4 linked regions of the Struthio camelus genome follow. The protein of the gene in region 1 purifies or fractionates together with the protein of each later gene. This does not show direct contact. Links are inferred from orthologs where the notes say so. Each region holds a gene or a part of one and is shown on either strand. Other genes may lie near its edges. The genes, in order: MAP3K7, CARD11, USP18 and RIPK2.

Region 1 (7,004 bases):
TAATGCTTTGTCTGTCTAATACACGAAAACCTAAAAGACGACATTCACGCAACCAAAAATTTGCATGGTACAGTGGGGAACGTTTCGCTGAACCCAAGTTTTAAGTTGTCTTTCCCCTTCTAGTTTTGAACATGCTCCCACTGTGTCACATAATTTTGATTTGACTCTGACTGATTGGTAATAATCATCTCTATGTTTTACTTCAACCTTTACTTTAAATAATGAAAAGGCAGCCTGAAGTTGGAGACATGCTTGACTTATAACTGTCCTGCAGTGCTACTTCCTGTATTATAGTCATGCACATGATAGCACAAACAGAATATGGTAGATTCATGATATTACCCAGCAGAGCTCAGCCAAACCAAAACGAAAGTGCACTTATGGATCTTAAATTTATTAGCAAGGACTCAGGGCCTGCAAGTATTCCAGAACTTCAATATCTATTAATAAACCAGTGGCAGAGTGGAACTGCTATCTGCTGACAAGACTGCTTTGATAATACAACAGCAAAGCTATGATTATACAAGCACTCATTTGAGTTTCCAGTATAGATCCGTTGACACTCCATTTTGAAATATCTAAGTGTCATAAAATATATTAAAATTTGGCCATTTTCAGTCCTTGCAGCCACTCAAAAATAAAATTTCTGGGTCTGCCGTAAGAGCAGAGCAAGTCCTCATTTACAACGTCTGGTAGGCCTGCAAAAGGCACGGCACGTAAGAGGTTAACACCCACAGTCAAGAAAAGCAAGGTACAGCACGGTTTCCAGTTCACCTGTTTTATTGCAAAGTAGATCTTATTTCCTCCTCCGTGCAATGACGTTTCGATTGCGTTCAGTACAATCATATCGCCATTGCCTGGTAAGAATTTCTGGTAGGGCAGGTACACAGAGCAAAATGGTGCAGCAGCTGCCAAATTTTCTCATGAAGTAAAACTTTATCGACAGCTCTCCAGCTTCTATTGCATAAGAGCGGCCATCTCCAGCAGAGAAGCTACTTTGAGGATAAAGCAACAATCTAATTAAAAAAACACAAATTATGGCTTGGGCACCAACTACACGTACGCTTTTGTGCATACGTTCCTGTCTCTGCGGGTGCTTGGTGGCCATGCAGGACACAGTCAAGTTCTGCACTGTGAAACCTTAGAACCTAAACCTTAGAATGATAAACTCTAGTTACACCAATTACACACTATGTGGCTCCACATTTCCTACAAGTAAAACGGCAATATAATCCTTGCTAACAGCCTTCCCAAGAGTGTTGTGAGGATTAAAAATTTGTATAGTGTTTCATTTGTTCAAAGTGCAATGTGTAACATATTATATGTGCTACTCACTTTTATGAGACATCCCTGGGCACCTTTTTATGATCTCTAAATTCCTATGAACTTTATTTTCTTCTTCAGGTAAAGCAAGCCATTTCTCCGAAAGTATGTGATGTGATCCTTGTGTATTGTTAAATGTTATACAAACGTCGGTATACCTCAAATGCAAAAATACTTTCAGTTCTGGAGCACCATAAAATTCTCTTGCTTCAAAGCAGTTAAATGCATACAGGGAAGAGGAACAGTTGGACCTACAGAGTTAAAAACCATCATGAATGCCATGTTTACACAACGGGGAAAAGGCACTCCTTTGGAAGAGAGTTTATTTTCTGAGGATTTCCCCTGTCTGCTGTGGCTAAAAACTGAAGTTACCACGACGGCATCTGAATAAAGCAGAAAGTACTCCAGCGTTCTACAGAAATACTACAAAGTCTATGTTCTGTGAACTCTTCAAGGCCGTGTGAGCACAACACAATAATTATAAACAATACAATACGTTGCAAACTGCTTCAATAATGTGGTTGTTGTACATCTAAATGCTACTGCACAAAGCTAAATTCACTTCCCCAGCAATGTTTTTTAAAAAGTGGAGGTTAATTATTGCTGAGGGAGACAAAGATGTTAACCTAAGAACAAAAGCACAAAGACTGTTTCAGCAGTCTTGGATGTTCGTTATGTCCACACTCTACAAGTCGAGCTCATCAAATTCAGTATGGGCCTGTGGGAAACAACTTTACTGCAGTGCAAACCTTGCTGTTGAGTTTTTCCTCACCTGGTAAGAATACCTTGTGAGGTAGACAAAGTTAATAAATACCGTGATGTATAGGTACAGAGCCCTTTAACAAAGCTGCAAGATACGCTCTGACCACCTCCATCCTACCCTCACAGGAAATCCAGACAGCCAAGAAGTACATTAGAAATGGTGTACTTTACTCATTCAACGCTAGCCTCAAAGAAACTTTCCACATAAGAGGAAGGAATACTTTCTTCAGACTCTGCTACACGACCACTGAATGCCACTTCCTGTGTAATATGTGCAGGTCACAAATGAAACGTTACAGACCCACCACTGCCACATCGCTAGCTTATATTTAAAAAAAAAAAAAAGCTATATGTCCTTTCACCTAACATAGCCTTAGATGCAGGAAAATAATTAACCGCAGTATGCTGGTTTTAGATCTATGACCGTTCCCGGTGCATGGCAGAAGGAAAAAGAAGGGGAGTACAAAAAGAGTGATTCAAAAGGGAAAAAAAAAAATCAGAATTAAACCCCCCCCCCCCCCGGTGACAACGGCGTTTGCTCCCATATTAAAGCCTCCTGAGTAAGTAAAACCCCACGTTACACCGCCTCGCCCCCGTGTCCCGCGTGGCCGAACTAAGGCTCCGCGGCACCTCCGCCCCTGGCAGCCCCTGCAGCATCGCCAGGAGAAGGAAAAACACCGGGCAGGTGGCTCGGTGGGTGGGTGAGCGGGGAGGCGCCGCGGCCGCCGGGCCGGGCCGGGCCGGGCCTCGCTCACTCACCTCTTCCACTTCGATCTCTTTGTAGTCGATTTCTTCGAAGTTGAGGACGGGCGGGGTTTCGATCATGTCCGCGGAGGCGGCAGAAGACATCCCTCCTGGCTCGGCCGCGGCAGGCCGGGCGCAGGCCGGCGGGCGCCGCGGCAGGGCAGGGCCGCGCCGCGGGGCTACACGGGGCGCCGCCGCGCCGGCGCCTCCCGCCCGCCCGCCCGCTGCTGGCCGAGGGCCGGGCCGGGCCGGGCCGGGCCGAGGCGCCTCCTGGGCCGCCGAGCGGGGCGAGGCCGCATCCGCGGCGGCCGCGGGCCTCAGCGGCGGCGGGCGGCGGCGGCCCCGCCGGCGGCAGCGGCGGCCCCGCTCCGCATCCCGCGCCGGCTGCTCTAGGCCGCGGCCTCTGCGAGTCGCCCGGGCTGCGCGTCCCCGGCGGCGGCGGCGGCGGCGGCGGCGGGCGGGGGTGGGGGAGCCGCTCAGCGCCGCGCCGCGGCCGACATCAGCGCCGCTTCCTGCTGCTGCTGCCGGCGGGCCGGGCCGGGCCGGGGCCGGGCCGGGGCGGGGCGGCGCTGCGGCAGCGGCTGCTACTCAGGCCGCCGCGGCGAGGGCCGTGGCCCGGCGGCAGCGACACCCACCTCGGCGCCGCTCCGCCCCGCCGAGGGCAGCAGCGCGCAGCGAGGCGGCCGCTTCGTCTTGCGGCCCTCGGCCGGCGGCGGAGCCGGGCCTCGGTCTTTGCCCCGCAGCGGTTGTTTTGGGAGCGGACGGGCCACCTTAAGGCCCTTCCCTTCCCTACCCCCCAGTGCCCGTGTCTGCTTGTGCGTTTGGCTTGGGCGACGCTTTCTGGGTCTTGGTGCTAAATGGGCCGGGGCTGGGTGTTTGGGGACAACCCGTGGTGCGAAGTCAGTGCTGGGGGGCAGTGGAGAGAGCCGCTGCGTTGCACTGAAACAGCTGCGCCGTCAGGCTTCCGTCCGATATGTTTAGCCCCAGTACTATATATAAAATGTTATGTTATTATAAAATACTATTAATAGTGTGTAATCTTAGTAGATCTGGTAAGCTTTCCCAAATCTTCCTGCACTAAAATGCTAATGAATGTTCATACCAAGTCTGGTAAACGAGAGAGAGCTGCTTTACGGAGCTGGCCTGAAGAAGTTGCGTCAGCAATGAACCAGGAGAAAGATCGAGGAGGAATACGGGCAGCAGCCTCGCGTCGTGGTGGTTCGGGTGTTGCTAGAAAAGCTAAACTAAAAGCCCTTTTCGCCAGAGCTACTGCTTTTTTTTTTTTTTTTTTTTTGTGATAGCTTGTCCTTTTGGGTTGTCTGCTGCCCGCTTGCCTTTTTCTTGCATCCTAAGTAATTTGACCAGGATTTCCAAACGTCTAGCAATCCAGAAATCCCAGACAAACAGTCACGGTGCATATGCCAGCCGACTCTGCATCGCATGCAAGATGAGACTAGTCTCCAGAACAGGTTGGATCAGCGTGATTACGTTGTGCAACTGATCTGTGTGTGCATGGGAGCAGACTCGTGTCCTGAACGTACTGAATTCCTCTTGCTTTTTGATTTTTCGTATGTTGTTCAGTGTAGAAAGATTTAAAGAGGCTTCTGTTAGAAATGGGAAAGTTCCGCGTAACCCAAAATCTCCTTAATACATGCTTGCTCCAGGAATGCGACTATCCAGGGGCCTTAGTTTCTAAGAGGTTGCATTTAATTTAGATATTGATGTTGGCCATGGCTTTCGCCCAAATACGTAGTCTCTGGATTATTCAGAATGAACATTTGCTATACCCAAGTGTACAGTTGAATTTCGTGGCCGTGAAAGTCACCGTTAGTGCACATCGTGGCCATACCATGACATGGAATCACAAGTGGCCAGGTTTGTACCTGGACCTGAGGACTTCAGGGTATTTCCTTCTTAAAGGAAAAGCACATCACTGTTGTATAATCTGCTGCCACTGTTTCAGGTGCTGAGGAAACAATATATTTGTTTTTAGATCACGAATATAGATTTGTGAGGTACTGGGAAACTGTAGGTCAGATTGAAAACAGATTCCTAACATTTAGACCTAGTTAGTTCCTAATGTTAGTTCCTAATTAGTTCCTAACATTTTCAGGCTTTTTTTTAGATTTAGGCACGTATGTTATATACTGGGGAAGGTGAAGAACGTTAATGTTTTTTGGAAAGATGGCTAGTAGTAGTGGTACTTTTGGTGGCAGGTGGTGTTCTCTAGTAAAATTAACTGAACATTTGGCTTTATGTTATGTTTCACAGGCCTCTTGAAGACATATATCAAGCAAGTGGCGGTTGCTGTCTTCTATATTTTAGTGGTGCTATTAACAGTGGTGCTGTTACCTGTATTTTGTTGTTGTTGATAAGAATTAAGAGCACAGAGGAGAGCATTCCAATTATAGTTGTTTGTAAGGTTCATTTCCTTTCAGGAATTGATGTAGAAATGTATCTCAAAAATAATGAGTTCTCTCTCTAGCGAAAGCAAAATCATTGCCATTATCAAAATGTCACTGTTGTGAAGATCAGATAGGGTTTCAAGGATGTTGCCGTTTTTATGGTTACTTCTTTTTCTTTTCTGACTGACACAATCTTAATTAGCTGTGTGTTGGGTCTGAGGACTAGGTATAATTTGAACGCTCCCAAAATAGAACATTTTAAATATGTATTCAAAAAACACATTTGAGAGGTAAAGGAAAACAAAAACACTCCAACTGCATCCCTTACAATCTGTGTTTATGTGGGAGAAAAGCTGCTCTTGTGTTTGGAAGAAAAACCTAGAACTTAGGAAGTCCAGATTCTATTTCTCAACTGCATATCACTAACTGAAAATAAATTACATTACAAGGAAGTTAAGGACTAAAAGATTCTGTGAAGTCTCAGGATACTATGGTCAGAGCAGAAGTAAATGCTCAAGACTGAAATAACTGCAGCAGATATTTTGACAGCTCCTGTCATCGTGGACCAGGTTTAAGAACTATATTTTTCAGAAGATATGCAGTAGGTCTCCTAAAAAATATAAAGTAAGTCTACATGGCCAGCTTAATGGACCTGAGGCTTAGCCTTAACATCTGAGTATCTTATCTAAAATTTAAACAAAGTTTACAGAATCTTGCAGCTTAGTGTTCGGTCACATTTTCATGAGGAGAAACACATCTGTATTTTCATGGCTACCCGCTGTCAGGTTTCATGTTCCAGCTCTGTTAAAATTTCCACGTTATAGATTTTTTTTTTTTTTTAAGAAGAGCAAACTAGCATGTTTTGTGCTAACGTAATTTAGCAAAACAGCTAAGTAATTTCTGCTTTCAAAAGATTTCACCTTGTGTCAGACATGTAGCGTACACAATTTTTGTTCAGTTGGTTAAAACATCTAAGTTTAGGCAACAGAAAAATGATCCTGGAACGCAGTAGTGGAAGGTGTTGGGTGGTCTCAACAGCGGGCATACCTGTAATGAGATAGGTTCCGTTTTGATAACATTTTTAACTTCAGGCACAGGAATAGTTCATGTTTCTGGCAAGACTGACTTTATTTTCTTTCTCAAATATTGTCATGTAAATGTTAGAGATAAATGAAACTGAAATATGGAAGCTATGTCATTTCAGTTCATGGGAATCAAGTGTGATTAAAGACCTTTACAACAGCTGTAGATGTGATTGTGAGTTATTAGCCTTGTCTCACCTGTGTGTTGGAAAGTGTCAGGATGCACGCTATACAAAGAAAATCTGCAGGAGTTAACGGGGGGGGGGGGAATTAGCCTGGATGACTGGAGTGACAAGGACTGGTGGATGAACTGTGTTGTGCATTGCCTTGTGAGTATGAGGCCACAGCATGTCTCTGGTGATGACAAATAAATGGCACACCATAAAGCATGTGTGCCGTACAAAACCAATCGGGAGAGACCTGAAAGAAGCACACTTCTTGTTCCAGTCCAGGTGCAGTGTAAGGATCTCACGAGGACAGATCACTCTGATGACACTAAAAGTTCTTCTGTTGTTCAGCATGGTGGTGTTCTTAGCTAATCCACTCTCCTCATGTAGTCTCTTCAGCTCTTATGTTAGGATTTCTCAGGAGCAGGTTGCAACATTTTGTGCGTGTCAAATTTGACTATGAATCTTAATCGTATCACCAATTCTGCCTTGCTTTACTGCATTGCAAACTGTTGCAAAGC
Region 2 (7,687 bases), on another chromosome or scaffold:
CCCCTGCGGTGTGTCACTTTTTAAGATCAAGGGGCATTTTTGATGATAATGTCTAAAAAAGGCAGATGAACACTAACAGCTGCTTATCCACAGGCTGGTGAACTGAATAGGGAAAAACTGTTCTGGAAGTCAGATCTCCAGAGAGAAATGAAAAATTATGAGCATCTGTAAGTAAGAGTGATAGTCTCTAAGGATAGTTGAGCATGGTTGATAATATAAAATATGTAAAACGTGGAAAATATTTAATGCTTCTGTTTCTTTGCTCTGAAGAGCTGGAAGGGTTGTGTTAACAATATATACGGCGCTACTGAGCTTAGACATCCAGGAGAAATGCAGTATATTAATTCTCAGATCACTAGTTTGTGAAATGCGTTTCTGGTATCCAGAGGTTTGCAGGACTGTTACACTGATAAGGAGTCAAGGGCAGTCTCTTCATGGGCTGGGATTGCTCTCTTGGGGGAGAAAGGAATGGAAGCAGAGGAACAGCAGATTAAGAGCTGGACAGTTTAGTGTTTCTCTGCTTCCAGCTGCTGATTTTTTTCAGCTCTCCAGCTCCAACTATTTAAAGATATCTAGCAGTTTCATTTCTGAGTTATGGCCTACCATTCCGATCAACCACCTTTGCTGAAAGATGTTCTACAGGCAGTCATGGTGTACATGGAACATCTTCTACTGGATAAACACATTTAATGTAATGCCTATGGCACAGTCAGAAGGAGAATCTTTCGCTATAGATATAACATAACAACGTTATGGTCTGGAAGTAGCTAGGAGCAAAATACTTAAGAGGCCAGCAACATTGTAAAGGAACTTCTAAGATGATAAGTCTTCTCTGCAGTTTCATCACTCTAATAGAATGCATAATGTAATCTTGAAATTGTGCGGGCTTTTTATGCAAGGATTTCAAAGTAAAAGCCTGGAGGATGGAAAGGTACAGCAGTGTACAGCAGCATAAAAAGGCTTACAGTACACTTGTTATTCAAGTTTTACCATCAAGGCTCAGATCATGCAGAATTAGAACAATTAGAGCAATTGGAAGAAACTAAAAATGCTCTCCTTTCCTGAAGTCTCTTTGAAAGACAGTGACAGCAAATATACCACATGTGTCCCACCAGTTGAATTTCCATGTGAGGGGTAGTTCCCTTGCAGGCAGAGGTTCAATTTATTGTTTCCTGCACCATGCATATAGAAAGGAGACTGAGAAACTGTACGAAAAAAGTATATTGGTACCCCTTAACCTGGGCAGCCAGCTGAATTAAAAGTTCTGGTGGATTTTAGTTACACAAAGAAATAGACGACGGAGCCAGGTATCTCTTTGAGGCAATTCTGCTTACTTACAAAAAAAGAAAAATTTCCTGCTTCCCAGAATTGAATGGGAGTAAAATAACAAAAGACAGTTTAATCATACTTCTAGTATTTTTTTTTCAGCCAGACAGTTCAGCAAAGCTCTTTCTGTTCTTTTTCTCAATATCATGTTTCTAGTGCTCGTTTTAGATGTATTCCCAGTTTTCAACTCTTAATATATCTATTTCTGGATTGTTTCTTGTTGCTGCTCTCTGAAAGATATGTAGCTCTACCAGACAAGGTCCTAGCCCCCACATTTGCATCAGGAAACCGACTGATTCAAATTCTGCAGCAATTTGCCATATTCTTGTATTTTAGGTGGATCATCTGGATTTTCTTGAATTTTCTGGTTGCCTGACAGAACATAATTGTTTTCTTCACTTTTGATGTATCTACTGATGTGTGAAACACATCACCTCAGTCTACCAGCTTCAAGGAACTATAACCTAAATCATAACATTTTTATGTCTTGAGAGAGTTTTTAAAAACTGAAACCTAGCATTAAGATTATAAATTCTTATAAAAAAGATAGAAACTGAGTTATGTGTAACTTTTTGACTGATGACTGGGTCACAACTGGATAATCTCAGTTTACCAGGGAAGTCTTTAGGAGTAGGACAGTTTTAGGTCTTTTGAGTTTCAGTGAAAGGTTGTTCAAGCCTCATTGGATAATTGCTTTGTCTCTAAGGCTTCACTCTGGGCCCAGGGAAATCTGTGATCTTTAGAACAGGTATTGTACCTTTTGAAAGCTGTTTATAATCTACAGCATTAAGCAGAACAAAAGCAGAAAGAGCAACAGCTACTACCTAATTCCTTGCTTGACTCTGGAGGGCAGTTTTATAGTCTACTGGCTGATATTTTCCCATTTGCTGAAGAACTCAAGGACAGAAGGGAAAACCTAAAACAGGGACTTGGTGAGTTTTGACTTGAATTTCTAGCACATTCTTCCTTTCAGATTAGGAACTGTAGCTTGGTCTGTGCGTGGAAGATCTGTGGTTTTTAAATGGAAGTGAAGCTACAAAGCCTCCTGTCAGCAGAGCTAATTGCTCCGGTTGTGCTGCGAATGGTTCCTCAGTTGCATGCACAAATCAGCTTCCTCTATGAAAGCAGTAGAAAGCTGGGATAAGAAATAACTTATATCACTTTTGATGAAATAATTGTAGGCCACAATTCTTATATCAGTATTTCACTGTTTTTCTGCAAGGTATGGTTTTTCCCCAGTTGCGCTGGTCCTGTGTCAAAAACTGCAGATCCTCATCCATGTAGTTGTCACATGGATAAATTTCTGGCTGCTCAAAGCAGGAAGCTTTCCTTGCCCTTATCACATGCAGTGCACAGGTTTGTTCACAGGTGAATTCTGATAGAGTTGCACAAGAATATAAGTAGCACATAACAGTGTAGTCCTGATTAGGGGGGGAAAAAAAAACCCAGAAAGGGGATAACAGGTTCTCCTATTGCCCAGCAGAGACTAGGAGAGAGAAATTCCTGCCTTCCTTAGTTTTTGAGCTCTTGATTTAGAGAAACAGAATGCCCTTCAGAATCCTTTTCAGTGTCATCCTTAGAGCATCCTTAGGTCCCTTATCAATCCAAGAACAGGTGCAAACACAGGAAATCAGAGGGACCATAAGGGAAAATTAGAGCTGGGATTCCTCACACATTTTGCTCCCCTAGTAGATATATTCTGCCTTCTCCCAGCCTTCATGGGATTCAAGCTTTCAGTTCAGTAAGAACACTTTTAAGTGTTTCTGTAATAACACTTTGAGCCATGTATTTTCTCCCTGACATTTCTTCTTTTCACTATCATCTCACTTCCTCCATTATTTTCTTTGATGCTGCTGTATGTTTTGATAGTGTTTCCACTGTTCTTTTATACTTACTTTCCATTCGTTGTGTTTTCCTTTGTTCTCTAGCAACTATTTTTAACTTTCTTTTTCTCTCACTCCATTACCATCATCGTGCCTCTTCCCTTCTCACATTCCTCAGTTCTTTGAATCATTTCTCAAGTATGCTTATCATTCCTAGTCTTTATGCATTTTCTTCTCTAGTAGTTTTCCATATGAGATAAGTACACATACATGTGTGTGTATACGTGTGTATATACATGTGCATACATGGCTGCTTTCTTCCAACCACAGAGAGTCAGCCTCACATGCACACATCCCTGTGGATGCACATGTGACTCCTCAAGGGTTCTTCTGACTTCTCACACATTCAGGACCTATTATTGACTCTGGCGAGGCTTCACTTGAAGCCTCACCTCAGTCCACTCAGTGTGAAGGGCAAAACCTAGGGAGTAACTGGGAGAAGAGCAGTATCTGTGCTTTGTTTTCCTCTTGAGGGTGAACAGGCAATAGCAGAAGAAGAACCAGCAAGTGTGGCAGGTGCATCATGAGAGATTTGGGCCGAGGATCCCTGTGCAAGATGGCAGCAGCATTAAAGGTTGCTAGTGGTGGTGGTAAATACTGATCCAGCACGACTAGGAAACAGTAAGGGAAAGGACTGGTTTACTTTGCTCCCACTGGCTTGCCCGTGGTGGGAAGCTCTTATTTGTGACCTAGCAGGTAAATGTCCTCAGTGAGACCTACCAGTGTGTGGCCTGGAGGCCAGAGTCCAGCATTAAAGCTATACCAGATCTTAGAGTCCAAGATACTGCAGCTTATTTATGCCAATGAGGAGTCCACCCCCTTTGTAAAGTACATTGTTTAAAGTATCATGCAACTGTAAAATAATATTTATATGAAGTAAATCTTGTTGACTTCCCTTTCAACAACAACAGCAGCTGTTAATCAAATACATGTTTCCTCAAAAAGTCTTTGAAACCTTGGGAAACCCCAAAACCCCTTCTGCCTGAAACTGCTGTTCTTGAAACTGTCTCCTGTTCAGAGCACGGTCCTTTCTTTCTTTCTTCTTGCCCTCTCTCCAGCCAGCATGTGCAATGAGAAGCAAGGGCTGCTGCTTTGCGAGCAGCATAGCGGCCCTAAAGCTGGCATTCAACATGTCCCTTTGTGCCTGAGGGAAACATACTCTAAAAGCCTGAGGAACTAGAAGTAAGGGCAAGGACATAACCTCTTTTTTCTCTCTGAGCCAGTTTTTTGTGCTTGTGCTGCTGCTGACTTTGCCCTCTGCTCTTTCTGGGGAAGGGGCAGAAGCGCCTATTTATTTTCTTGCGGTGGTACTTCAGGGCTCTGCTATCACCTGCAAGCAGAGTCATTTGCAAACAGGCTGTATCGCTGGGGAGCAGAAATGTGTTTTTTTTAAACCTTAAGCAGATTTATAGTCTGGTTTCCTGTCAGATCTTTGCATTTTCCTTCCCCGCCCCTCCCAGGCTCTGACACACTTTTTCTTACTTTCTGTGTCGCTCTTTGCTCATTCTGACACCGGGGCGCTTGCATCCTTTATTCCTGATTCTTCCTAAACTTTTGGCACTTCAGAGGCAAAGGGAGTGTCTTGCTTTTTGTATTTCCTTTACTTTTCAACAGCTTCAGAGCACAGATAACCTCTCCAGGACTGCTGGAGAGAGACAGTGACAATTGCATGGAGGCGACGTAGGGAGTTTCAGCCTGCAGCAGCTGCAGCAAGGCAGCCCCGGTCACTCATGAGCACCCAAGGTAAGGAAAGCAGCTATCAAATCAGCTCCACCTTACTGCTGGTTAGGATAGCACCTGATTCTAATCATACCGGTTCCCCTTTCACCTTTCACTTTTTTTGTGTTCATTTTCAAGAGCACGTTTCTTTGAGAATGGTTATGTTAGCTCCTTCCTTGCACTCAACAGGTCTAATTGTACCTTGCACGCACAAATATTTAGAGCGCGGGGTTCAGTGAAGCAAACAGGCTGTAGCTGAAGGTGCACATATGTTTGCAAATAAAGTGTGCACTGGGAAGGAGAATGGAAATGGAGGTCTGGAGAGGGGAGATGAAAGGACTAATTGTGAGCAGTGGCCTCTAGGGAATTTCTGTTTCTACCCATGGTATGTTGTGCTCTACCTTTACTTTAAATCTCTTCACTGGGCATTTATGCTTTCTATCAAATAACAAAATCTTTCTCCTTTGTTTTTTTTTTCTCTTTGAATTTGTTCTTCTCACTTCCTTTAGTCTTCTCTCAACCCTGATGTATCTCTTACTGACTTTTCCACCATCTTTTTATGTCTATTTTTCATCAAGCATAATTCTGTATAACAAATGTTCCTCTTGCCCCTTTCTTTGCCTTCCCTCCCCCTCCTCTTTTTTGCCTGTGCAATAGACTGTACATCCTGCCCCATGTTCTTAATCTTTCTCTCCTTCCACCCTGTCATTTCCTTCTTCTCTGTCTTGTGTTCCCCTTTCCCATTGCTCCTCTGGCTTCTCACACGCACTACTTCCTGCCCCATCTCCTTTCTCGTGCACACAGCGTACATTGCTGCCCCGCAAAGTTAATTTTGCACACACAGTGGTGTTGTCTCTCTGCTGAATTGTCCTTGCACACACATGCTGCTTTCCTGTCTACCCTTTCTCTCTTGTACGCATGCAGGATTTGCTAAACAAGTTCCCATCCCAAAATACCAGACTCTTATACTTGCACAGCTTCCTTCCAATTCTCACACTCATATCTGGTCATTCACAACAAATAACCCCTGTCGTTCTGACTCTGTTTCTTTCTGTCTCATGAACAGAATTTTCTAACACCTCTAACACACCATAGCTTCCTTTCTACTTATAAATACAGCCATCTCTGACATAGTTCTTTCTATCGCTCCTCTTTCTGTCATCTCGCTCCTCCTTAAGTCCTTACCCCAATCTTTCAGCAGGTTTCTCCATCTCTTTTTGTCTTGATGTTGACTTCATATTGGAAGGAGCCACTGGTCTTAGTCTCTGCTGTCTTAGCATCCCCCCTGAGTACCTGCAGGGGAACTGGAGGAAGTGTTGCAGTCTTTCAGCTTCTCTTTCCTTCGCAGAATATGCAAGCTGCAGCAGAGTAAGAGCATAAGAGTGGGAGTGAGTGTGGATAGAGAAATGGGAGAGCACAATCCAAAATGTTTTTTGAAAATTGTAAAAATGGTTCTAGAGGAGATACTTTCTTCTAAGTGATTATAAGCCATTTTACTAGCCTAAATAAAGCCGCAGTCTGCCTGCCCCAATGCCGAACTTCTGCTCTGACACTGAGGTAGTTTTTGTCCTGCTGATTTGAAACTCCCTTGGAGTTTCAAATCTCAGAGGTAGAGGTTCTCTACAGTAATACTATGGTGGGAGTAACTTTGCTCCTAGGATCTGGAAACAGCTCATTTCTTCTATACTAGATATATTAGTGAGTCTCAAAGATCAAACATGGCTAAAAATTGCATCCAAGAACAATAGCTGGTATTATTGCCTGTTTAAGTTTGTAAGCTTTGAACCAGATACAGCAAAGAAATAAGTTTCTTTGATGAAGCCTTTTTGCCTCACATTCTGAAGCAGGACTATTGGGACTGAAGATTTATTTCTAAGAATGTTCTGATGTGGGCTTTTGAGGACTGAATAAGGATCACTTATTAAACTCAGTCGAATTAATAAGAGAATTATTATGTAGGCGAATTCTGTTAACAATCTACCCCATCCATCTTCTTAAAAATTGTTCATCTCCTTATGGGTGAAAGAAGCCTAAATTTTATGTTTGCAATTATAATATATCCTTTCTGATTCAGAGCTATCAAACTGTGGCCTTTGAGCTATGAACATTCTCTTCTGAATGCAGAAGCAGCTACATCATAATATCTTTGTCTTCTGGATCTTGTGAAAAGTCCACAAACCTAGAATGACAAAATAAAAGAGATGTTCATTTTATTCATACAGATCTAATATGACTCTTTCCTACTCTGTTACAACTCATCCTGTGATATGAAAAGTTCTTGTGTTTCTTTTAGTCATTCTGCAAAACTTGTATGATGATCTTGTGCTTTGTTTTTACAGTATTCTGTGCCCCCAGAACTGTCCCTGTTCTGATGCCTTGGTATGTCCCAAAAACAAACTGGCTGAGACAACTTCCCTCTCTTTTTCTCTCTCACTCTTTTTTTTTTTTTTTTCTCCATCCTCGTAATTTGCCACAGGTTGAGTTAAAAATTGTTGAAGCTGGGTTGTGGCAGTTGCAAGGGGACAAGGAGCCAGAGATAAATTCTTTTCACTCTAGTACCTTGGGTCTAGAGAGAGATTTCAGCTAGAAAGAACATGAACACCTTCCATCCTACCAAGCAAATTCCTGTACTGGGAGGTGCTCCCCCAGAAAAGAGATTCAGAACCTCATGTTAACTCCCTGTTCATATGCAGAGAGTTCCTTCCAAATAGATTTAGCTCTGAATTAAGAGAAAAATAAACTTTCAACATTCATGAGAA
Region 3 (7,291 bases), on another chromosome or scaffold:
AGATAATTCAAAGTAGTGAGCAAAGTTCAGGGATTTACAGGATTCACAGCCTGCTAGGCAACGACAACCATTCTTGCCTAGAAAATCCCTCAGCAACCTTTTATCTAGATCTTCTTCAGGTGGAGTTTCCATCTCTGTTGGCAATACAACGTCCATACAGCCACGTTCCCAATACAACATCACATTCAACTTGTATACTCTGTATGTATTATATGCATTTAATTATCCAGATCAGTAAAATACTAAACTATGTATTTATGGAGTACCTGAAATGCCTCCGCTTAGGAAAACATCCCTATTCGAGACACACTTGATTATGTATTTCAGTGGAAGCAGTATGAATAAGCATTATTCAGTCCAGTGGGATTTAGGGTCTTAAACAGGTTCCCTTACAGTTCTGTCCTGAATTGCAACCAAAACCAATAAAAAGAGGAAATTTCATACATGAAACACAGTTAAACTAAAAGAACTTGTGACAAATCTTAACCGGTTCACCTATCTTGAGATTTAAACTTCTAAACCTTCTCTAGGTCTGCATGAATAAATTTTACAAAAAGATACATAAACAAAGAAGCGACAAAAAATGGCAGGTTAAGTGCTTGCTCTGTTCTTTGGCAAATTGCTGAAAGAGATGCAATGAAGAAGTAAAGTTATTGATCCAGTGTGGAGTACTTTATGGGTTCTGAATCACTGGGAGTGCAGTGCCTAACTCACTGGATGTTTGAAATGTCGCTCTGATCATTAATGTTATGGTTTATTTTATTTGAAAGGATATTTAGGAATCAGAGTCCCAAATCTCGCAGTAGTCAATTCACTCTTTGGAATGATTTGGAGATAACTTTAGAAGGGCTGCGGTTGTTATTAGAAGCTAGCAGCTTTTGTCAAAAGTGACCCCTGGATGCTTAGCAGACAGTGCATTTGGACCCAAACACTGAATCTTTCCCTTTTAGACATCCCTTTATCTGAGCACACTTCCTGGGCTTAGACTTCTGCGTGGGATGTCACAGCTGATTTCTACAGGCATCCAAAACCACTCTTTATTGTGTTATCCCTTTTTGAGAACAGCTTTGTCTGGCTTTGGACATGGTCTGCTTTCTGCTGCTACTCTGGGTCACAACCACCTCTTCAGCACGGGTTCTCTGAATTCTCTTCTCTGTTCATTATTGCCTTATCCAGTCCTCATAGCTTTGGCCCCCATTGGCTCTGCTTCAGAAGAGAGTCTGAACTCAGAACTCCACTGCCTCAGTCTTTTTCCTGAGGATGTTTGCATATTCTTAAGTGGATATATTAAACCAATTTGAAGAAAATGGAAGATTGGGATGTTATTTTAGGCACACAAGAGTAGCTTTAAAACCAGTTGCACAATGCTAATGTTATTAACTCACTGCAAATGGAGCTTCTGTGCCTAATGGAAGTGATATGGTTTATTGCCTGCTTTTAGAAAACAATGGAAACTAGCCACGCAACAGTAAAGCCTTACAGTATTCTTACAGAACCATATGGTCTTCTTAATCTAGTATTCTAGATTAAGAATCTAGAATATCTAATCTAGTATTCTAGATTAAGAATCACCTGTGTCACAGGCGACATTTCCAAAAGCTACCTCAGCTACACACTGCTTCACTAGATTCCACAAACCTGTCAGACTTAGCTTCTATTTAATCTTCAGTGCCAATCTGCACTCTGCTCAGCTGGTTTGACAGCTTCTAGGCAACTCATGGCTTAGCAGTTCTTTTTTTAACTGTTCTTCACTTCTATCAGGCAGATACCGTACAAGCTAGCCATCGAGAGGGAACTTTACATCACTAAATCTAAGTGGTTGCCCTGAAGCTCTGCCAGAGATAAGCCTAACCTCAGGAAAGATGCCAAGTTATTTGAGCTCACCTGCTCATGAGCCTCTGCAGATATCCACATTCGTCCAGGCTGACAGTCCAGGAAGGTTTTTGCTGCCACTGCTGCTGCCTTAGCTGAAGAGCGCTGGCTGCCAAGCAACTGCATTGCCTCCAACAGAGCTCTACATAACCCACCCGGAAGGGATGGCACTGGGACCTTTTCTGCGAAGACTGCAACAATAACAGCTCTGATGGGCTCCAGAGAGTCCCTCTGAAAGTCTCATCGGTTTCCTTCCCATGTTCAGTGAAACAGGGTGGGGGCTGCACAGATGTCCCTGACACAGGACAGGGAGTACACGCTATTCTGGCCAGTCATAATATGCTAGTATAACCCCTCCTGTAGAAGCAGCAGCCAAAGCGTTCTGACAAAGTATATATGACAAAGGAGAGGCAGTAAACATCCCTTACTACCATCGTCAGGGTTGCCTTCATCCTCGAAATCCTCCTCTGAACCCTAACTCTACCTTCCCTCATAATCAAAGGTCTGGCTCTTTAGTTCAAGGTGTTAGGGGCACAAACAGTATGCTAATAATAAGAATATATACGACACAAGGCTTTGAAAAAGCATTTTTGCTGCAGAAATTTTATAAAAGGACACCCACATTCAACTCCTACATTCCCTCTATAACTACTAAATGTCTATAAGATACGAGACACAGCCTGCAAGTTTGGGCTATGTAAGCTGTGGTTTTCCTCCCGACATACATTTTTCTGTAACATCCACAGAATTTAATAATAGCTGAAGGCACAGCACAGGTGAAATTCAGTTTGTCAGCAGCTCACAGAAGGGGCTTTTCTGAGGGGTAGAAGGGCACTCCAAAGACACCAGTGAGGTTGCAGGAAGCAAGGAAAGGGAGACAGGAAAAGCCATCAGGAACTCCAGATGGCCCGTGAAAGGAAGCAAAGTCTTTCCCCCACAAACCTCTCATGCACCATCAACCCAATCTTACAGGCAGAGAGAGCAAGGAAGAGGATGGTGAAGACGACAGTGATGGAAGGTAATGGAAGGACCTGTCCCCTAGGGACCTCCTGGTGGCAGCTGCAGGGAGAGGAAGTGCTGCTTCTGACTCAGTTGGAGCTCCTGGATAAATGCAGGAGGCAGCTGTGCCCTGCCAAATCACACAGGGACCTCTCTTCACCTGGGTGCCAGAGATTCAACCCACTTTACATACATAGCAGGACTCCCTACTTCCCTAAGCCATTCCCCAGCCAGCAGCACTCTGCAGGGGAGCAGGGACCAGGGCAGCATTGCTCACCTAAAGCATTTCCCACCTTCTCAGGAGCAAAGCTGGGCCCATGGCCATTCTCCAAAAAGCAGCATTCCCTTAAAGGGTGCTGCTGCCCTCCGTTCCTCCTCCTGATGCCCAGGAGCAACAGGAAGGGGAAAGTCTGGAAACCTGACACACGCACAGGGTGAGTGGCCACCTAACACACTTTTACGCTTCAGGAGGCACTTGACTTGCTGAGGCCAGAAATCACACAGCCCTGGCTGCTGTGGAGCTACATGGCGGGGGTATTTGTCCATCACTGTACAGTCATTCGTATATCCTGCTGCAGATGGCATTTTGAAACCCCACCATCAAGGATGGACGGAATTGATTAGAAGTCTAATCTACCAAGTGACTTTTTCTTTTGAAATTTGTAGGCCACTTATTTATTTTGGATTATTTCAAGTGACCTACTTCTAACTAGGTTGCTGTAATTATGAAAAAAGTCTTTTTTTTTAATGCTGAAAGTAACAAATGTCATGACTAACAAATGCATGGTCAAGAACACGCATGGTTTTGCATGATCAAGAACAAACATTAAGGTCCTGGCAGAGCCAGTATGTTGAAGTAATGAAATCATCTGAGAAAAGCTTTTTTTCTTTTTTTCTTTTTTCCTCCTTCCTCTCCTCTCCTACGGAGCCTAATTTCTCACTTCTCCATTTAAATCTCACTTTTGCTTCCGGCAAAGAGAAAACCGACCAGACCCGGCTGCGATATGCCAGGGAGGGGCGTGGCGGGGAACGCACCCTGCGAGCCCCTTATCTAGGCGACCGTTGGGCGCGACCGTTGGGCAGCGGCGGGAAGCCTTGGCGGGGCCCAACGGCCGAGCCGAGCCTCTACCTGCCGAGCGGGCGCCCCTCAAGCCCGGCACCTGCGCAGCTCCTCCCAGGCCTTTGGCCACCTTCCTGCGACAGCCCTTTACAGACAGGGGCATCTACCAGCTCGGCTTGTGGTTTTCCCCTCCTTCTCGGCCCGGTGCGAGCGCTTTACCTCTTCGGTTCTTGCAGCCGCGAGGCGCCGCGCCACCATGTCGCGCGCCGGCCGCGCTCAGCCCCGCTCGCTCGCCGCGGCCATGGACCGGGGAGACGTGAGGCGGCGGCTCGGCTCGGCTCGGCTCCCCCCAGCGGCGGCGGCGGCGGAGGGAGAGGCGGGCGGCGCTGCCCAGGCCCAGCCCGGCGTAGTTTCACTTTCTATGCCTCCCGCTCTGCGGAGTGGGAAATCAAAACTACGCGGCGAAGTGGGCGCTGCTGCCTTCTGACGCAGCCGGCAAGAAACGCCGCGGAGCTTGGGACCGCACTCGGGCGAGGAGCGTGGCCGCGGCGGCAGGCTGCCCGCTGGCTCCCCGCCTCCTCGCTGCGCAGGAGAGCGCCGGGCGGCGGCGGCGGCGCCGAGCCTGCCTGGCTGCGGAGGGTCTGTTCGCGCTTGCGGTGGCCACCTCGGGGTCTGCCGGGGCTTCAGGCGTTCGTGGTCCTCCGGGAGTGTGTGAGAAGCCCTGTCGACGGACCGTCAGGTAATAGGGGCCACATCGTGCCATTAAAATACCTACTTGCGCAGTGTCCTCCGAGCTGTTGTATCGCATTGGTTTGGTGATTCGTGTTTCTCCTAGCTGGTGAAAGTGACTCTCGTTTTGAGCGGATGGAATCCGATGGGTTGTTGGACGCTGCAATCTAGGGAGTGGAAATAATTCGTGACTTTAGTGGTTGAAGTGGTCTTTTGTCTGTTTAAACAGAATTATCCTGTAATGAAAAGGAGGAAAAAAAAAAGGAGAGGAGGGAGAAAAATTGGGGCTGAACTAACACGTACTTCACCAGAAAACTTAAAATCCTCGTTCCGAGGAGGAAAGCACGGAGGTGAAAGGCTAGAGCACTGCCTGCCAGCTTACACTGCAGAGTCAGTCTCTTAGGGAAGAGCCTCAGGGCTGCCATTTCTTCTCCTCCTGGTCTCTGGGTCACTCTTTTTTGTCCTACCTCCCGTCCCAGCACAGTCATCTCCACGGCCTGGACCTCGACCTCAACATGATGGCGGGGTTTAAAAAGAAGTGATGGTGGTGGGAAAGAATGGTGGCCACTGGGTGGCCAGGGGCATCAGGGACTGCCAAGCGCCTGGGCTGCTGCGTAGCTGGGGTGACATTAAGGCTGAGGGGGGCCGCGATACATGAGCGTGAAGGGACCAAGGGGATTTGTCGCTAGAGTCTGGTCTCCTGGGATGACATAAGGGCTGTGGAGCAGAGCCCTAGTAGGAGGGAGTGCCCTGGGCTTGGAGGGAGGAGGGTAGGTGAGAAGGCTGGTTGCTTAGAAGACGTAGGATATGATGGAGGAACTACTGCTACCCTTTCTTTGCCTAGAGTTAGCGTGTAGCTTGGCCGAGGCAGCAGCACTGAGTCATGTCGCTAATCAGCAAAGGAAACTGAGGAGGGACTCTGCTCTTTCAGTGCTCTCCTGAGAGGATAAGTCAGTGGTAAGAGGGCAGCCTACTCCTCCCTTCTTATGCTCACTCACCTGTTTGTTTATACATTTATGCTGGGTAAAGGAAGGTCAAGTGCAAATCTTAAAAATACTGTGTTTTTTCTGACCAAAATGAGGCAGTTCCGTGCAAGGGTTAGAAAGTTCTAGTCATGTCCTGCTCCTAAACCAGAGTTCCTGTTAGCTCACTGCCTGGGTGTGTGGAGGAGAGTTTCATCAAGCCAGAGACCCCAGATTCTCTCACCTCTGCATCCCTCTGAACCTCCCAGCCCTAATGTCTTTCTACCCAAGTTTCCCAAGTCACCCAAAGCCTCTTAGCCCTGCACTCGCTCATGCATCCCACCCTTAATCCTACCTCTCCTGCCGAAGCCTCTCTCTTCCAAGTTTTCCTCATCCCCAGCACGTTCATAGCTGCTGTTTAGCTATTCCTGCTCTGCCCTTCTGTCCCTCTCTTTTCTGTTTCCTCCAGTATCCCCACCAGCTGTGAGCGTTACTGCCACCCTTTTGCTGACATTACACCAACTAAACCCACTAGCTCTTGCCATGCAAGCAAAGGTCGGCTCCTGCTATGGCTGAACTATCAGTAACTTGAAGGCCTGGGTAAATCACTTTTTGGGAAAGAAGCAGTATCAGGCTCTTGCAATATTTTGCAGAAGGGGAAATCAAACCCAGTTTCCACTTTCTTGAGTTGCTGTTCTGATCACTGGTCTTGAACGTAAAAAGCGATGCTCTTGAAACTAGCTCTGAATGATACAGTTTCTTTTTTTCCCCCCTCCCAGATAAAACTCAGCAAATTCAACAATATTTAGTGAATCTGAGTGTATCAAACAGGTCTGAGTTCAAAAGTAGTCTTGATAAAGTACAGTTGGAGACAAGTATACTTAAGGTCAAAATTATTAATTGCAAAAACCCATTAATTTCTAGTTTTTTGATAAATTCCTCAGAAATTCTGAAATGTAACATTACTAGGCACAGTTAACCTGGAAAAAATATGCTTTTAAAGCAAATAATTTCTTTTCATGAAAGGTTTCTGCCGGGTTTTTTTGCTTATTTCCTAGTGACTTTCCTTCATTCTTTCAGTATTTGGAATGGCCTCAGGTTCCTTTTAAAAGCTGTTCAATATTTTTAAAATATAAATTCCTCACCATATTTTTTGTTTTTTTTTTTGGTTTCCCCTCCCGTGAATGTTTTCCTAAAGATATCCTTCTTTTCTGATTCTGTTTCCCTGTTGAAGGTGGACTTTCAAAAACCCTCCCTTTTTATTTAATTGCATTCTAACATTTGTCTTGTGTTTTTGCTTCCATATATTACTTTTTTTTTTTCTTTAAAGAGCCAGTAGTTGAATCCTAAGAGGCTGTAATGAAGTAATGGTCCTTTCAGCACTCCCCTTAAAATCAAGGAGTTTAATGGTTCCCTTCTTAAACAGTCCCTTTGCCTGTGATTATTTGAAGGAGCTTATACAGGAAATGACATTCAAGTTCTTAGCCTCCTTACATTTATAGATCAGAATCCAAAATACCACAGTAGAGCTGTAATTAAAGTGTTTAAAACAACGCAGAGAGCCCAACCAGAAAACAAATAAACACTTATCGGTTTGAAAGGTCTGAGAAGGTGAAATTTGCCCTTTTGAATATTTAAGCTGCTTTGGGTTATAAAGCATTGCTGTTAT
Region 4 (7,871 bases), on another chromosome or scaffold:
TAAGCAGCTGAAATTTTATTTAAAACAAAGTAAGAGTACACTTCTGTTCCTAAGAATAACGAAGACAATTTTTTGACACGTTTTATGTCTCAAAAGTTCTTGAACAAACAGGTTATTAATACTGAGGATACTCGGACTAAGAAAGATAATTCTAAGAAAAAAAGATTTAGCTTTTACATCAGTGGAGCCTGGTACAGATACAAGTGCATGACTGGGATATCCAAATGCTGGACTATTGCAGCCCATCTAAGACTGACCAGGCAGCCTGATTCAGAAGCCATCAGGTGTGCAGGGCTGCACACAGGCTAACAGTCAACGCCGATCAAGATTTGCTCAGTGCACTGCCATATTAATACGGCCATACCGCTCCCAGATGAGAGCTGGCTTTAGTCTGTGCCCTGCGCTGGATCGACAGAAGAGTTCAAGTCTGTCTGGACCCGTCAGTGCAGACCTAGCCCTCACAATCAGAAGGCCTTCAGAGTACATGGGGGAAAAAAGGAAGCCTAGAAAACTAAAGCTTGCTGCTTTTATGACAGAAGAATTTAAAATTTAGAGGTATGTGAAATTGCTTTCAATATGTAGGAAATAGAAAGCAAAACATCTTCATGATGGAGAAAAAAAAAAACCCTCCTGTTACAGGAAACTCTAGAAAATGATCTGAGGGAAAAGGCAGGCCTCAAGGAAAGCCAGGGATGTAACTCTCTCCTTCCAAAAAACACTAGCTTAGAGAAAGTAGGGGTTTTCCCAGGCTATGAGGCAGATCTGCATGAGATTCTGCTGTAACTGGGAAACAAGTTGCAACATACCGAGGGTTGTTCCTGGATCTATAAATTAGTTCACCTTTCTCCGCTCCATAGCGGAAGAGCATTGAGTAATGCCAAAGCTAGTGCAAGCCCACAACAGCTTCCAAACAGGCTCTGCTGCTCAGCAGGTCGCACAGACCAAATTCTGGGATGCACAGCGCAGGCTTCCTGTTTGGGGAGTTAACTGCACTGTGAACTTCCCTTTTCCTGACAGCACTTACAGACCAAACTCTTACGCTACCTACAACACCACTGACAATTTTCTTGTCACAAAAACTCAGGCGCAGCATTTCTTACAGCTTTAGGTTATTCTCGTAGCATTTCCGAGCTCTGCATGATCCACGGCTGAGGGCTGAGTTGTTCTGACTGCCTCAGTTTCCCCCTTTGTCAAAACTTCCTGGATTTCATGTCACACTGATCTAAATTCTGGCAAGGCTAGAAATACTATTGACTGTTCTTTCCCAATCAATTTGAAAGGAGAAGCGCTATATTCAGGATAAGCGGGGATTGAAGCAGATAATTTAATATAAAGAAAAAACATTGAGGAAAGTTGAAAAGTTTTTACATGCATGTATATACACACACGCAGGTATATGCACCCCCCTGTCCCTCTGGTGTACACATACACACACAAACGCACACATAGACATGGCTATCTGTACTTCAGTGAAGTTATTCTGCCTGAACACCTAACACTAGATCCAAAGAAATGAGTTCATGGAGGCGAAAGTCACCTAGATAAGAAAAAAAGGGGCAAGTTTATAGTCTTCAACAGCCTAAGATGAACTGGCATCGACCTGGTTAAAAAAGAGGCACTGTAGAGAGTGAAGGAGGCAGAGGTGGAAGAAAACTACAGCCTGCTGCATCCTTATTTAGGACGACAACTCCTGCGGCAAACAGGCTACAACCTGGTGCCCAGAAGAGCGGGGAACACGACGGCTGAGCTGCAGAGCTTAAGGGAGATATCACCTGTAGGCAAGAGCCCTACACACCTACCATTCCCAACCAGCTTGTCTCAGTACCTGCGATCTGGGGCAAAAATCTATTATGTTTTGTCTTGGAGAAGCTTATCCTGGGTCCCTGCACTCGGCAGCGCACACAGTAATATATTCTATGCACTACACTACATATTCCATATACTCTATACCCCCCCCCGGGCTCCGCCACGGCTCGCGGAGCTCGCTCCGCCACACGGACCCCCCCACCCCGGCTCCACCACGGCTCGCGGAGCTCCGCCACACGGACCCCCCCGCCCCCCGGCTCCGCCACGGCTCGCGGAGCTCGCTCCGCCACACGGACCCCCCCGCCCCCCGGCTCCGCCACGGCTCGCGGAGCTCGCTCCGCCACACGGACCCCCCCCCCCGGCTCCGCGGAGCTCCGCCACACGGACCCCCCCACCCCGGCTCCACCACGGCTCGCGGAGCTCGCTCCGCCACACGGACCCCCCCGCCCCCGCCACGGCTCGCGGAGCTCGCTCCGCCACACGGACCCCCCCGCCCCCCGGCTCCGCCACGGCTCGCGGAGCTCGCTCCGCCACACGGACCCCCCCCCCCGGCTCCGCGGAGCTCCGCCACACGGACCCCCCCGCCCCCCGGCTCCGCCACGGCTCGCGGAGCTCGCTCCGCCACACGGACCCCCCCCACCCCGGCTCCGCCACGGCTCGCGGAGCTCGCTCCGCCACACGGACCCCCCCCACCCCGGCTCTGCCACAGCTCGCGGAACTCGCTCCGCCACACGGCCCCCCCCCGGCTCCGCCACGGCTCGCGAAGCTCCGCCACACGGCCCCCCCCGGCTCGCAGAGCTCCGCCACACGGGCCCTCCCCTCCCCGGCTCGCCCACGGGTGGGCGGGTGGACAACGCCACCGCTTCGCAGCAGCCGACGCGGGGCCGCGGCCCCTGCCCCCGCCGGTACCTCTCGAGCAGCGGCCCCTGCAGGCTCTTGAGGGCCACCGGGACCCGCCAGTCGGCGTGGCGAGCGGCGGAGACGGTGCCGTAGGCGCCGCGGCTGAGGAAGCGCAGGTCCGGCAGCTTGTTGGAGGGGATGGAGGGCAGGGCGCAGCTGATGGCGCCCGCCTGGCCGCCACCCTCCCCGCCGCTCATCCTCGCACTGCGCCGCGGGAGGCGCGACTCCACGGCCCCGCGGGGGAGGCGCCACCCGACCCGACCCGACCCGACCCGACCCGACCTGACGCGGCGCGACGCAACACCCCGCCGCGCCCGGCGCCGAGGCCGGGACCGGGGCTGGGGCTGGGGCCGGGGCCGGGGCCAGGTCCTCGCCGTCCGCCCCGCCCCGCCCCGCCCCGCCGCAGCCAGAGCGGCCCGGCCCGGCCCGGCTCCCGGCTGCCCGGAGGGGGCGGCGAGAGGGCTCCTGCCGCGGCCGGAGGGAGGTGCGCGGCGCCCCCCGCGCCGCCGCCGCTCATTCGTGCACTTCCCGGTGTCTCCTCACTTTTTCCGATAGAGGAGGAGGGCGGGCAGGTCGCGCCGCCCCTGCGGGGGCGCCCCGCGCCGGGTGTCGGAGGGTAGCGCCCTCCGCCCGCAGAAGAGCATTCCGAGAGTTTTCCAGAAGGAGGAAACGGGCAGCCCGGCGGCGCCCGGGCCGATGCGCCCGGCGAGCCGATAGCTGGGCTCGGGGGCCGCGCAGGAGGTGTGCCGAGGCCCTGCGCCTCCCCGAGCCGAGCCCCGGCCTGGCGGCGCGGCGAGGCGCCTCCGAGCCGAGGCCGGAGCGGGGGGCGCGGGGCGCGGGCCTCAGCTCTCCCCTCGGGCCGCCTGGAGGCCGTTTCCCCCCCTCTCCTCTCCCAGGAGCGGGTAGGGAGCGGAGGACGAGGGAGAGAAGCCAGATTTTCAGCCTGTGGCGTTGTGCAATACGTCAACGGCGTTTTAAGGCCTAACAGTTTTTTTTTTCTGGTCCTCCGTCTCGGTCCCAGCCTCTTTACTTCAGGTAGTGGCAAATCTATGCTGTCTTTCCCCAGTTTTCTTGTATTTTGGAGGATATGTATCCCATGCTGCAACAGTGGTAACATTATATTAGTCATATAAAGAAGTCTAGAATTATTCTGCGCTCAGCTTTCATTTCAGTCTCTATCCTTCAAATACACTAGGTGGTTTCGCCGCAGAGTAATCTCTAGGCATTATGGCACACAAGGTTTACACATCCATTCGATGTATATGCCTCTCCCTCCATCTAGCATGTGAGTACTGTTACTTGTTACCCTGCTTCAACTTTGTTGTATAAGAAAGTTTTTCTTACCTAAAGAAAATAAGATGCGGTGGACACCAAAGGTAAGCACGTACTACAGAAACACTGTGTAAAGACATATTTATGGTATATCCCATTAAGGGCTTATAAAGGTCCCTGTACTGAAAATTGTAAGACACTGTACAGAAAGTTAATTGCACATCTTGCTGCCACATGTTTTTGCTGATTTCCTGTTTATTTATAATTTTAAATTACTAAAAAAAAGAAAAGGTTTGTGATTTTAAAAGTGGCAGAGCAGTAATAGTGCCAAAAATATTACTGTAATCTTTTTAACTTATTTGTTTTATTATAAAATGTGGAGAGTTTTTGTGACTTGGAGGTTTTATATGTCTTCCACTATTTTGAAAGATCCTGCCCATTTCTATTGACAACAACGGGTTTTGGATCAACTCAAGCTGTATGACATTGTTTTCATACAACAGTGGATCAGTTTCTGCTACTGGAGTGGAAGCAGAATTGACTTCATTTTCATCAAAGTAAAGGAAAACAGGACGAGTAACAGGCATAAGTAGTTAGTTGCTGCTTTGGATCTTTAGGAATTATGCCAGAGTTTGAAGACATGGACTTACTCGTGAGGTTGGAAAGGGAAGAGGAACTCTGCATTTGATTTGAGCTCCGTCACCATAGCACGGTGGGGAGCTGCATGTTTTGCTGCCGCACTGGCTCACAAGTTCCGGGAAAGATAAGCTGGTGCTTGAAATTCCCAAGACAAAGAGGGGTTAGAAAGGGAAAATTAGAACAAAATGTTACTGCATCTGGAAACCCCCTTTTTTTCTTTAGTATTTTGAAAGGTATTCTGCCAGATAACTTAAATGGTATCATAGCTGGTTTAAGGTTTCATAGTTCTAGGTGTGTGGCATAAATTGTGCTGCTAAAATACAAAATAATTTCAGTGCAGATCAAAGCTTTAAAATATTCCTTTGAGATTCTGCTGAAACTGTTAAGGTTGTAAAAGTCAAAGATAACACACTGTCAATTAAAGTATTATATTTGATATTCTGATTTTTAGAGTAACTGCATAATTAAGGTTTTAAGTCAAGTCTGTTTACACACTGTAGTGGCATACAGGAAGGCCGTGTAACAATACCTGTTGACTCTGTTCCCAACTGTGAATTGGTTCATAGCTTCATAGCTGAAAGGCTTGTGTTACGCTCATAGTATGTGTAGTTGATTTTCTTTATAATCACTCATTTTTAATTATTTTGTGAGAAAAAACCTTTCATAACTGTTTTTCTGCATTACTACAAGACTTATTTCAGCTATTTATCACATACAAAACATCTAAACTTTAATGTTCCCAGACTTCCTGATTTTGCCTAAAACCGCTTTGGTGTCTCTAAAAGTAAGCAGGATCCCTTTCTGTAATAAGTGCAAAGCAACGTGCCAGAAAAATCAGTAAGGGGTTTAAGGGTAGTCAGTAACTAAATGGCAGGCTCAGATTAGTTTCTACTTCTTCAGTACAATGAGGACTGAGGAAATTACGCACTCGCATGTTAAACTCCCCATATCTGTTTATGCAACAGTGGTGCCACCTCAAACTTCATTCCTACAGGAAGTATAACTCTTGTCAGTGAAGAATATGTGGTGGACTTCCCAAATGTGTGATTGTTACAAGAAGAGAAGGGTGATCAGATCAGATGTATGGGCCAGACGCTGCTAGAGATAGTGTCTAGTCAAGCTGCTTGTGGCTGTACTAGTTTGTGCTTTCCTGTGCAATGTATTTATTGGGATACAGTGCTCTTCTAGAAGAAGCTTGAGCGTATTTAAATCTCAAAGCATTGTCATTTTCCACTTCAGTTTTTTGGAGTCTCACTGAGGAGACTCCCTAAATCTGTAGGAAGTTCTAAAGCAGTGAGCAAGCAGACTTTCTGGTCGGTCAAATTAACTTGATTATTTATATCTGAGTAATCCTGACATAAAGAAAGAACACAAATCAGAAAGTCAGAATCTAGGTCCCAGAGCCTGAGCATGAGGAGCGGGATGTACAAGTAGATTTATTTTTCTTCCTGTTCCTGGGGCTGCCTGTCAGACCAAATCAGGACAGCTTTGCTTGTTATTGCAAAGACCTTTAGCAAAACAGGTCTATTAAACTGTGATTTGAAAATGTGCAGTTGGCAATAGAGAAGATGCATAGAATACTAATAAAAACAACTGCTAATCTGTTAATCACCTTTTAATGTTTTTTATGCAATACTTCTTTATTTGCCTAATTTAGTCTGCCACATTTGAATGAATAGGTGATGTAATCTATAATATGTCATCTGTCTGACTGTATCAGGTGATAAATGACCTGGTACAACACACTGTACCTTTGACATTGCTTGTTCTCTAATGGACATAATAATAAAAAGTACTCCTTAGTACTAAAAGAGAAGGTTCAAGGTCCTTCACATATGGCTGTAGGCAGAATCCCTACTCATTTGGGCATCCTCAAGGTAAATTAAGCTTTTGATAAAACTAAAGCTTGGACTGTGTAGCAGATAAACAGCTGACTTGTTGTTTCTTCTTTCAACTTTTCACTTGCTCATATCCTCCATGAGTACTCCCCCATTGACCTTTTCATTCTGATTGAGAAGTCTTTGGTCTGATTCTTCCCTTCACATAGGAATTTCTGAAGGTCCACATATAAATGAGATAAGTGAAGACCCTGAGCAACAGTACATTTTTTGTGATGTTCCTCATGCCTTGATTGTTAGTGCAATGAATGAAAAAAAATCGCTCTCTCTTGAATTTAGGAAGTATTTGGCAAAACTGATTTTGAAAGCACAACAGTTACATTGATGAGCTTAGTTTACAGGTTGTGAAATCAAGGAGTGCAGCTACTGTGTTTCAGTACCTGTGGACTTGTAAAATGCTTTTCACACCTTGTATCTCTGTATAAAAGATAACAAAATGATAATTAAAATTCCTCATGTTTTCCAGACTGAGGTGCAATCTCTTTCCTGACATTCTTCTCTATGGACAGCATAAACTGGAAAGACCTGTTAGATTTCTGCTGTAGATATATTCACAGAGATATTGAGAAGAGGCTATAAAATACAGAAATGTTTATGTGTTTGTTTTTCTGAGGAGCATGCAGCTATGGAACTGGTTGTTGCCATTTGCAAGATAGGCCTGAAATACACAGCTCCCCTATTTATACAGATATGTAAGGATGAGCGTACATACTGCATGCATGTCTTTACTGATAAACTCATGTTTCTGAAGTAATTTTTTGCAGTCTTGTCCCTCCATCCAGCCGAATTTTAGTACGTTCATTTCTATGGGTGTCACACAAAATTTCAGTTGTGTTTTTAAAATTCGCCAGGTTAACTGCCTTTCCACAACAGCACAGGTAGGTGAACGTTTTGTTTTTTTTGTCAAGGCAAGATGCTCTGATTTTGAAAAGCTATGGTTTTATGATGTAATCTCTACAACTTCTTTACTCCTGCCCCAAGAGCAGTAATTTTTTCCCTAAATTAATCTGGGTCATGTTTCCAAATACTTACTTTTTAATGTAGTTTCTCTTTGTTTCGTGTTCTTTAGAAAGGGTATCTTTCTGTTTTGTACCCAGTTGCCAAAATGTAGTATACACTGACTGCGTGGCTCGGGTCCTTTGTCCTTGTTTGTTTGTCTGTTACATAGACTGTGGCTTGATAACACTTAATGTAACAGCAGGAGTTACAATGAAGAGCAAAGGAGACACTTGAATGCTCCTCTTTGATCTCAGTAGGCAGAAGACTATCAAAACTGGAAGACTGTGTCAACTACTTAGGCTATGACTGTGTTTTGGGAGCAATAAGTATTTCCCAGCTGCTCTATCTGGATGTATC

What was found.
Region 2: the proteins of MAP3K7 (region 1) and CARD11 purify together in Homo sapiens (affinity purification with western blotting; 3 studies listed by BioGRID). This does not show direct contact. The link is inferred for Struthio camelus from reciprocal best matches to the Homo sapiens genes MAP3K7 and CARD11.
Region 3: the proteins of MAP3K7 (region 1) and USP18 purify together in Homo sapiens (affinity purification with western blotting; 4 studies listed by BioGRID, with this or other methods). This does not show direct contact. The link is inferred for Struthio camelus from reciprocal best matches to the Homo sapiens genes MAP3K7 and USP18.
Region 4: the proteins of MAP3K7 (region 1) and RIPK2 purify together in Homo sapiens (affinity purification with western blotting; 4 studies listed by BioGRID). This does not show direct contact. The link is inferred for Struthio camelus from reciprocal best matches to the Homo sapiens genes MAP3K7 and RIPK2.

What each region holds. Positions count from the first base shown.
Region 1 is NC_090944.1:50,781,613-50,788,616, forward strand, and holds the start of MAP3K7 (mitogen-activated protein kinase kinase kinase 7), read right to left. Parts: upstream 3,002-7,004; 5' UTR 2,935-3,001; coding exon 2,845-2,934; intron 1-2,844. UniProt on the Homo sapiens protein: Serine/threonine kinase which acts as an essential component of the MAP kinase signal transduction pathway. Plays an important role in the cascades of cellular responses evoked by changes in the environment.
Region 2 is NC_090956.1:5,763,295-5,770,981, forward strand, and holds the start of CARD11 (caspase recruitment domain-containing protein 11), read left to right. Parts: upstream 1-4,674; 5' UTR 4,675-4,939; coding exon 4,940-4,952; intron 4,953-7,687. UniProt on the Homo sapiens protein: Adapter protein that plays a key role in adaptive immune response by transducing the activation of NF-kappa-B downstream of T-cell receptor (TCR) and B-cell receptor (BCR) engagement.
Region 3 is NC_090942.1:70,950,617-70,957,907, forward strand, and holds the start of USP18 (ubl carboxyl-terminal hydrolase 18), read left to right. Parts: upstream 1-4,275; 5' UTR 4,276-4,670; intron 4,671-5,504; exon of another isoform or gene 5,505-5,617; intron 5,618-7,291. UniProt on the Homo sapiens protein: Interferon-induced ISG15-specific protease that plays a crucial role for maintaining a proper balance of ISG15-conjugated proteins in cells. Regulates protein ISGylation by efficiently cleaving ISG15 conjugates linked via isopeptide bonds.
Region 4 is NC_090943.1:151,164,873-151,172,743, forward strand, and holds the start of RIPK2 (receptor-interacting serine/threonine-protein kinase 2), read right to left. Parts: upstream 3,013-7,871; 5' UTR 2,904-3,012; coding exon 2,716-2,903; intron 1,241-2,715; exon of another isoform or gene 1,101-1,240; intron 1-1,100.